Xenopus tropicalis: one gene and its partner. The protein of the gene in region 2 purifies or fractionates together with the protein of the main gene of each other region. This does not show direct contact. Links are inferred from orthologs where the notes say so. Each region holds a gene or a part of one and is shown on either strand. Other genes may lie near its edges.

Region 1 (4,306 bases), on a different chromosome or scaffold from region 2:
ACCAATTCTGATGTATATATATTAGTTTACTAGTGAAGAAGTTTAATGCATCAACATCTTGCATATTTGAAGACTATTTAGTCTTTTCAAAGCTAACATCTATGTCTCAGCACAAGCCTATCTATAACCACTGTGCTTTTTATGCAGCTAGAAAAGGCTCTGAAAGTCTGCAAAAGTAAAAAAAAAAAAAGCAAGTAATCATAACTCATTGCATGATATACATTTAGCTATATGCTTACAAAATTCCCACAATGAAATAACTTGCAACGCAAGATTAATTTACAGTATGTCAGTTTACAGTTTACTTTGTAAATAAACACACTGTCCACAGTAACATCTGTCACATGGCACCATATTAAAGTGCATTGCAAAAAAAAAAAAAGTTAACCCTAAATACAAGCAAAAAGGTTGAGATCTATGGCATTGATTGTGGGGATGGATTGTTAAAATATGCATACTGTGTGTCCAGTCCAATGCCTATTCTGTTTTGTGCCAGCTGCTACAGGAATAAGGCCCCATCAACCACAATGTATTTGTTTGAAAGTATTACCTCGCAGATTAATCAATGATATAACCCTACAGACTGGTAGGCAGAATGCTACAAGGCCTGACACTAGTTTATATCTACATGAGATTTTTTTAAAAAATAACTAAAAATGTTTACCACTTTCCTTCTCCATAAAAGGTACAAATTTCTATGCCTAAGCTTATTTGCTATTGCCACGCAATCTGTGACTGGCCATCATACTAGAACTGTGTGTGGGGGTGCTGGAGAGAAAACTAATTAGGTCCAAAAAAACCTGAATTTACATATCTGGCAAGTTCTCTGGCCATGGGAAAGGTTTTATAAAGCAAAAATGAAAGCTGAATTTTGTAGTTTCTTTATCCTTAAACAAAACAAGGTATCTCTTGCCAGTTAGAAAAAGTAATGTTTATATAAATCCCCTTATGTTCGGGCAACACTGCTGGGCATAATGAGTAAATGCCCAGCTTGAGCTTTATGTACATGTGACATAGAATCGGCAAAAATACCAACCTCTGTTGGAGGAAACAACTTTTAGGTAATAAAAGAACCTATCATTTTGCCACCCAACGCGATTTTTCGTGTGTGGACAATAAAGAGCCCACAAATACCCCTTCATACACTAACCTTATGATAGCTCTGACCCCGCCAGCATAATCTCTTGATTTAGCAGTGAGCATTTTAAAGTCAGTGCTTTAACGGCTGCAAGTTCAGGTCAATCACCAGGTTAGCCTTATAAGGGGTTATTGTCACTGCCATTAAAACTGCATCATTTTTTATAAACACAATTTTTATGCAAACATTGTTTAATTCCAAAATTCCTGATGTTTAGAGGAATCACCAACAACTAATGCTATTAAATTATAAACTGCTATTTCTACACAGTCACTCACCTTTCATTTGATTTGGAGCGTGAACGAGAACGACTTCGAGATCTTCTCCTTTCCCGAGAGCGATGTCTTTTCCTGTCTTTGGAGGGTGATGATTTCCTATCGCGGTCCCTCTCAGCTGATCTGGAACGGGAGCGCTTACGCTCCTTGGATGGAGACCCATCACGGTCTCTTTTATCTGTCAGTTCTCCTGCCATCTGTACATAATCACAAGCAATGGTGAGACATGATTGAAAGGCATTAACAATTCAGAAATTACACACAAAAAAATTAAATAGTTCTCAAGGGAATAGTATGCTGGCCCTATGTGTTTTTCAACAAAAGGATCACCAGCCCTGGGCCTAAGGTAAGTAATTATGTTAACTAACAAACTTGCACTCACCAGTAACAACCCCTTTCTTATCCTCTAAAGAGCATGCCAAAATAAATGTAAAAAAGTATAGAGGCTACTGGGTGCTCATCAGCAGCATTGACAAATGAATCTCTAGATAAGTGTCTTTATCAAATAGGTTATTTCAAACTAGGTCTGAGGTTTTGATTTGAGGCCACAGACTGTATGGTTCCTCAATTAACTGTTGAGGGCTGTCAGCAAACAGGAATAAGAAGAGGCACAGGTCAAGCCAGATTGTGGTACATGCAGTGCACCGCAGAGACTAGCTGGCAGCTTCAACAAATAATATCAACAATTATTTTATGCAGTATATATAAATTAAAATAACCTGAACACTTACTTTCACCTAATCACTTTTATACAGGTAATGTCTCTTTGTTAGAGCCTCAACATGGAACGTGAGCAGATCTGTAAATCAGAAAAGATTATCATCAAGCAACACAAATGAAAGCATCCTCTAAACCACACCACCAAATTCCAGACTTAGCCCTTAATAAAATGTTTCTCATAATACTTACAAACATACTTCCTAAAGACATGTTGCCAAAGCTGTAAAATCATAAATATTGGAAGCAAACCCATACAGTCTCCTATGACCACATGTAGGCAATGTGAAAATACAAACTGCATTGCCCTGGAGACTGCTATTGCACCCCGTATAGCCCAACCAGTGGCTCATCAGCAACATGTTGCTCACTACCCCTTTTCATGTTGCTCCTATTAGCCTCAAAGTAGGTGCCCATTTTTACTTTTCTGGCTTGGAGGCAAGTGTTGGAAGCACAGAGACACAGATTTATTTAAGCAGAGCCTCCTGCAGCCTAGCAGCCCACATGCCCTCAGTCCAATGCGGCTTAGAAAACAGAAGGTAAAAAGGGCTGTATTCATACTACAGTCTGATTCAACGCCATACGCCTCCATAGCGAGGAATGGTGATACAGGTTCCGTCATGTTGCTGTGGCGGGTCAATTTGTGTATTGGAGTAGACTATCGCAATAAACGCAGCAGTAAGGCAACACATAGTGAAGTGTGTAAAGGGCCCTATACAAGAGACACACGCACACAAGCCAGCTCTCATACACGGACTCACAGTAAGCGCACCTGCTCCGCTAACTCCGACTCACCACAAACAGATATACCAACTTCTCAGCTTCGGCCACTTACCTCCATAAACTCACTCTACAACGTTTCTATTCCGCCGCCATGTTGGCTAGAGCATTTCCGTGGCATTCTGGGAACGCGTCACGGAAGGAAGCGTGCGTCGTGACGTATGTAAAACTACATTTCCCGAAATGCTGCTGCGCGCTAGGGGGGGGAAAAAACTCAATTTCCCGAAATGCCGTGGTGCGTACAGTGACTCCTCGGCTAGGCTAGGTATGTTTCATTTAGTCTTGAGCAGTTTTATTAGGTTGGGTTTATCCTAGATATCAAGCTTATACAATAATACAGTACAGAATAAAACCGGAATGTAAAATATGAGATAAGATCTAAGGAACACCCTAATGACAGTGGCAGTAAGGCTTTTTTTTGAGTTGTTTTATTCGCTGAGCAATTTTACAATAAAGTGGGTGGGCAAACACTCGAAATCACCTCTTGTTCATTATATTGGTATCTAGCTGGTCCCACAAATGAGACAACTATCGCTTAGAATCACTGACTACCGAAATTTCAAGCAACAATTACTTAAAGGAGACATATCCTATATAAATGATGAATGTACCAGTAAATTATACTCCTCTAGATATAGAAGGATTGTGCTTAAAAAAGTTGTGTTTCTAACTGATTTATTGAGAAATTCCCCCAAACCCCACTAGCCCCGCCCATCTGTTCCACTTCCTGCTGGCTGAATTCTCTGGATGAGCTGGGGAGCCACACTGTAGGATAGGAACCAATCAGCAGCTAGGCTGACCTGATAGGGAACTGAAGCCTGTCTTTGCTTGTGTGAGTGCAGGGCTGTGATTGGCTCTCCCCCTCCTACTGTGCCTCTGGCAGGGGCCGTTAGGACACGCCCACTCTTCATTTCACACTTGACTGAGAAGTGAGAGGATCTATAGGGAGCTCCAGTAAAGGGGCCATTGTTACAGATAGGATTAATTTTTAGCCCAAAGGGAAACCAGCACCGTATATTATTCATAATTGCCTACAAAATAGGCGTTTTTCCCCATTTATCCAATATGTCTCCTTTAAAACCGATGCTTTAGGCAATTGTTAATGAAATGGGGGTCATTTTTCTAGTGGGTTTTAAGATAACTGAGGGTAAAGGTTCTTAGGTTTAATATAGGGCACAAGTATGGGGCCCTAAGTGGATGAGGAGAGCATTAGCACATTGATGCGGTCTTGGACCAATAGCCTTTGTCCCCTCAAGGTAGTGATTTGGAAAGTATATACACACAGCCACGTCATAAGGACATAAAAAAAACACTGGTCCAATAAACAATAAAGCATAGTTTCCAGCCTTTTTCCAACTGCTGAAGACATGGATGTGTTTTGGGGAATCCATGGACT
Region 2 (4,445 bases):
TGATTTGGCCAAATACTGAACTGAATCCTTATTTGCATGTGCAAATTAAGCTACGGAACAGTTAAATGAAGCGCGCGCTTAATTTTTTACTTCTGTGTTCATGTGATTTTACAGATTCTGCAGAATCTTGCCTGAATCCCAAACTGAATACTGGGTTCAGTGCATTCCAAGAGGCATCTAATGTGACTGTGTTCATACAGTGCCCAACTTGATTCTTGGATTGTAATCACCCTGTTCCACCTGAAGGGACTCAAATTCTGCTATTACGTTTCATGTTCTCCCAATTCATATTCACTCACCCAGTCTATATTATCAAGCCAGTGGTCCCGAATCTGAGCTTCTTTACGCAAAAAATAGTTGCCCTCAGAGTCAAAATGCCCTTCCTCCATTTCCTCCTTCAGGTTAAAAGGAGTAATCGGAACACCACCCTCCGACTCCAGAGTAGCGTTTTCTTGTCCTGCAGAGGAAGAAGAGCAAAGACAAATTTAAGACAAATTTAAGTCAAATTTAAGGGGCTGTTCCTGCTGAATTGTGCTTAGTACAGGGGAATCCCTATGCTGCTATAGTTTTATGGTATCTCTCTGTACTGGCTATGAGCAAACTTAGGGGGCTGTTCCTGCTGAATTGTGCTTAGTACAGGGGAATCCCTATGCTGCCATAGTTTTATGGCATCTCTCTGTACAGGCTATGAGCAAACTTAGGGGGCTGTTCCTGCTGAATTGTGCTTAGTACAGGGGAATCCCTATGCTGCCATAGTTTTATGGCATCTCTCTGTACAGGCTATGAGCAAACTTAGGGGGCTGTTCCTGCTGAATTGTGCTTAGTACAGGGGAATCCCTATGCTGCCATAGTTTTATGGTATCTCTCTGTACAGGCTATGAGCAAACTTAGGGGGCTGTTCCTGCTGAATTGTGCTTAGTACAGGGGAATCCCTATGCTGCCATAGTTTTATGGTATCTGTCAGCATAACATTTGCTTTGCTCATAGCCTGTACAAAGACTTTACTATAATATCCAGTATGAAGTAGTCCGCAAAATGGCCATGATCTTCTTTTGTAGATGACTGCCCCAAGCCACCCCCAGCTGATGGGTACTTACTGCAGCAGACACCCTGATATGACTTTAGGTGACTGGGAGTGGAGAGCCCATTGTGCCCAAGTTATGCTGAGCTGGAGGAAGTGCCATCTTTTGATAGGTTGCAGTAGAGTTTAAAATTGCAGTTCAGCCTATGGAATTACTGGCCTGCCTCCAGCTCAGCATAAGCAAAGCAAGCAGCACTGCTCCTGCAGCTCACTCCCTCATCATTACTGTGGGTACCAATACACTAGGGTGGCCTGGGGGCAACTTATGCATAGGATGTTTCAGTACCAGGTATCTTTAGCTACCCTCTCCCAAACATCCTTATATTATGCGTCCGCTTGTTTCTTGTAAAGGGGTTTATAATACTACAAGAGGCACAAAGCGGGCACCCTGCTATGGAATCTCACCTTCAACATCCTCGGGGGCTAATATGTCATACTTTGCAGAACGTCCATCACTGGTTTCTTCCTCATCATCTTCCTCATCGCTGTCCAGAGAATGTTTCCCTTTAAATCGACTTCCTGGGCCTCCCACTACATCCGGGAGCTTCAATAAAGGGGTGAGACCGTGTCAGACATGCACATTGGCTAATGCAGACCGTCTATATAATGGCGTCTTTATAAAGGTTACTGGGATCAGTTTGGAAAAAGAAAAGCGACATGGTGCAATTCGGCTCTGCTTCTTAACTTACCCTTTTTTTTTTCTGCTCATCATCGTCGTCTTCAGCCCCATCCACAAATGTGACCTTCCTTTTAGACATCCTATAGAAAAGGCAACAGGCACTATTAATAGGGATGCATTAAATACAGGATTTGGCCAGTGCCTGGCCAAACCGAATCCCTAAAGTCACATGACTTTTCATCGCATGATAGCGGAAAGGAGGAGTTCTCTTTAGCCCCTTTGTACCAGGATTCAGCGAATCTTTCACAAAAGAATTCAGGGTTCAACTGAATCCCAAAACAGTGGAGTCGGTGCATCCCTATGAAAGACTACAGGTATTGGACCTCTTATCTGGAAACCCATTAGAACAGAACAATCCTATTGGGTTTATTTAATGGTTAAATGATTCCCTTTTCTCTGTAATAATAAAACAGTACCTGTACTTGATCCCAACTAAGATATAATTACCCCTTATTGGGGGCAGAACAGCCCTATTGGGTTTATTTAATGGTTAAATGATTCCCTTTTCTCTGTAATAATAAAACAGTACCTGTACTTGATCCCAACTAAGATATAATTACCCCTTATTGGGGGCAGAACAGCCCTATTGGGTTTATTTCATGGTTAAATGATTCCTTTTTCTCTGTAATAATAAAACAGTACCTGTACTTGATCCCAACTAAGATATAATTACCCCTTATTGGGGCAGAACAGCCCTATTGGGTTTATTTAATGGTTAAATGATTCCCTTTTCTCTGTAATAATAAAACAGTACCTGTACTTGATCCCAACTAAGATATAATTACCCCTTATTGGGGCAGAACAGCCCTATTGGGTTTATGTCATGGTTAAATGATTCCCTTTTCTCTGTAATAATAAAACAGTACCTGTACTTGATCCCAACTAAGATATAATTACCCCTTATTGGGTTAAGAGACCCTGTGAGTAGAAGGGAACTTGTATACAAAATAAAGGGGGGGAAAGTCTAAAACCAGGAAAATGCAAGAAAACCGCTCGGTGTGAGGAAACATGAGGGGAAGAGAGATCCCTGCAGGTTCCTCAGTATAACCCTGTTTATAACATAAATAACGGAGAGGGGATTCGTATCAAACAGGCCCCGCCCCCAGGGCCGACCTGCCGTAAATAAGGGCCGGTGTTTTGCAACTTTAAAGGCCTCACAAGTTCCCAGATCCCCTTAGTTCTAGCGCAGCTCGGTAAGTATCCAACAAACCTTTCGTTTTTCGGAAGCACTCGTCGAGACGCGGGTGTCGCAGCCGGATGACGCGCAGGAAGTGATGAAGTCAAACCGGAAGTAGGGCAAATGAAGTTGTATCGCTTTGAAATATGACTGTATAGCTGCTGCAGGTCACAAAGTAGTCGTCTTGCAGGGGATGCTGGGACTTGTAGTTGTCACTGGTGCATCCCACTGACTTATTAATGCACAATTTAAGTTAAAGCACCAGTAATAACATTAAAAAATAATTGTCATTTATTGCCACTGGTTATTAAAATGGGATTGGGTTACAGGGCTTTTTCCTGATAGTTATAGGTTTTATAACCAGAGAGAGGTCATTTAGCCAGGAATGGAAGGGCCCCAGGAGAGAAAGTAAATACATTGTTGGTCGCTTTTATCAATGAATCAGACATGGTTACATACCTCCCAACATTTTGAAACTGAAAACAGGGACAAAAATAAACGCTGCGTGCAACCACACCCCCTAAATACCACTCCCATTTGACTAAATTTACTTATTACATTTGTTATTTATTATTATTATTAACATTTATTTATAAAGCGCCAACATATCCCGCAGCGCTGTACAATAAGTGGGTTTCATACATTGGGCATACAGAGTAACATATAAAGCAATCAGTAACCGATACAGGAGGGGAAGGGAGCCCTGCCCAAAAGAGCTTACAATCTACAAGGAGTAACATATAAAGCAATCAGTAACCGATACAGGAGGGGAAGAGGGCCCTGCCCAAAAGAGCTTACAATCTACAAGGAGTAACATATAAAGCAATCAGTAACCGATACAGGAGGGGAAGAGGGCCCTGCCCAAAAGAGCTTACAATCTACAAGGAGTAACATATAAAGCAATCAACCGATACAAGAGGGGAAGAGAGCCCTGCCCAAAAGAGCTTACAATCTACAAGGAGTAACATATAAAGCAATCAATAACCGATACAAGAGGGGAAGGGAGCCCTGCCCAAAAGAGCTTACACTCTACAAGGAGTAACATATAAAGCAATCAATAACCAATACAGGAGGGGAAGAGGGCCCTGCCCAAAAGAGCTTACACTCTACAAGGAGTAACATATAAAGCAATCAATAACCGATACAAGAGGTGAAGGGAGCCCTGCCCAAAAGAGCTTACACTCTACAAGGAGTAACATATAAAGCAATCAATAACCAATACAGGAGGGGAAGGGAGCCCTGCCCAAAAGAGCTTACAATCTACAAGGAGTAACATATACAGTGGTGTGAAAAACTATTTGCCCCCTTCCTGATTTCTTATTCTTTTGCATGTTTGTCACACAATATGTTTCTGATCATCAAACACATTTAACTATTAGTCAAAGATAACACAAGTAAACACAAAATGCAGTTTTTAAATGAGGGTTTTTATTATTTAGGGAGAAAAAAAATCCAAACCTCCATGGCCCTGTGTGAAAAAGTAATTGCCCCCTGAACCTAATAACTGG

The links.
Region 1: the proteins of cd2bp2 (region 2) and ddx23 purify together in Homo sapiens (affinity purification with mass spectrometry; 6 studies listed by BioGRID and IntAct, counting the BioPlex papers as one, with this or other methods). This does not show direct contact. The link is inferred for Xenopus tropicalis from reciprocal best matches to the Homo sapiens genes CD2BP2 and DDX23.

Annotation. Positions count from the first base shown.
Region 1 is NC_030678.2:136,000,801-136,005,106, forward strand, and holds the start of ddx23 (probable ATP-dependent RNA helicase DDX23), read right to left. Parts: upstream 3,091-4,306; 5' UTR 2,966-3,090; intron 2,213-2,965; 5' UTR 2,145-2,212; intron 1,611-2,144; coding exon 1,417-1,610; intron 1-1,416. UniProt on the Homo sapiens protein: Involved in pre-mRNA splicing and its phosphorylated form (by SRPK2) is required for spliceosomal B complex formation.
Region 2 is NC_030685.2:13,551,573-13,556,017, forward strand, and holds the start of cd2bp2 (CD2 antigen cytoplasmic tail-binding protein 2), read right to left. Parts: upstream 3,020-4,445; 5' UTR 2,971-3,019; intron 2,955-2,970; exon of another isoform or gene 2,874-2,954; intron 1,841-2,873; 5' UTR 1,840-1,840; coding exon 1,771-1,839; intron 1,626-1,770; coding exon 1,487-1,625; intron 458-1,486; coding exon 300-457; intron 1-299. UniProt on the Homo sapiens protein: Involved in pre-mRNA splicing as component of the U5 snRNP complex that is involved in spliceosome assembly.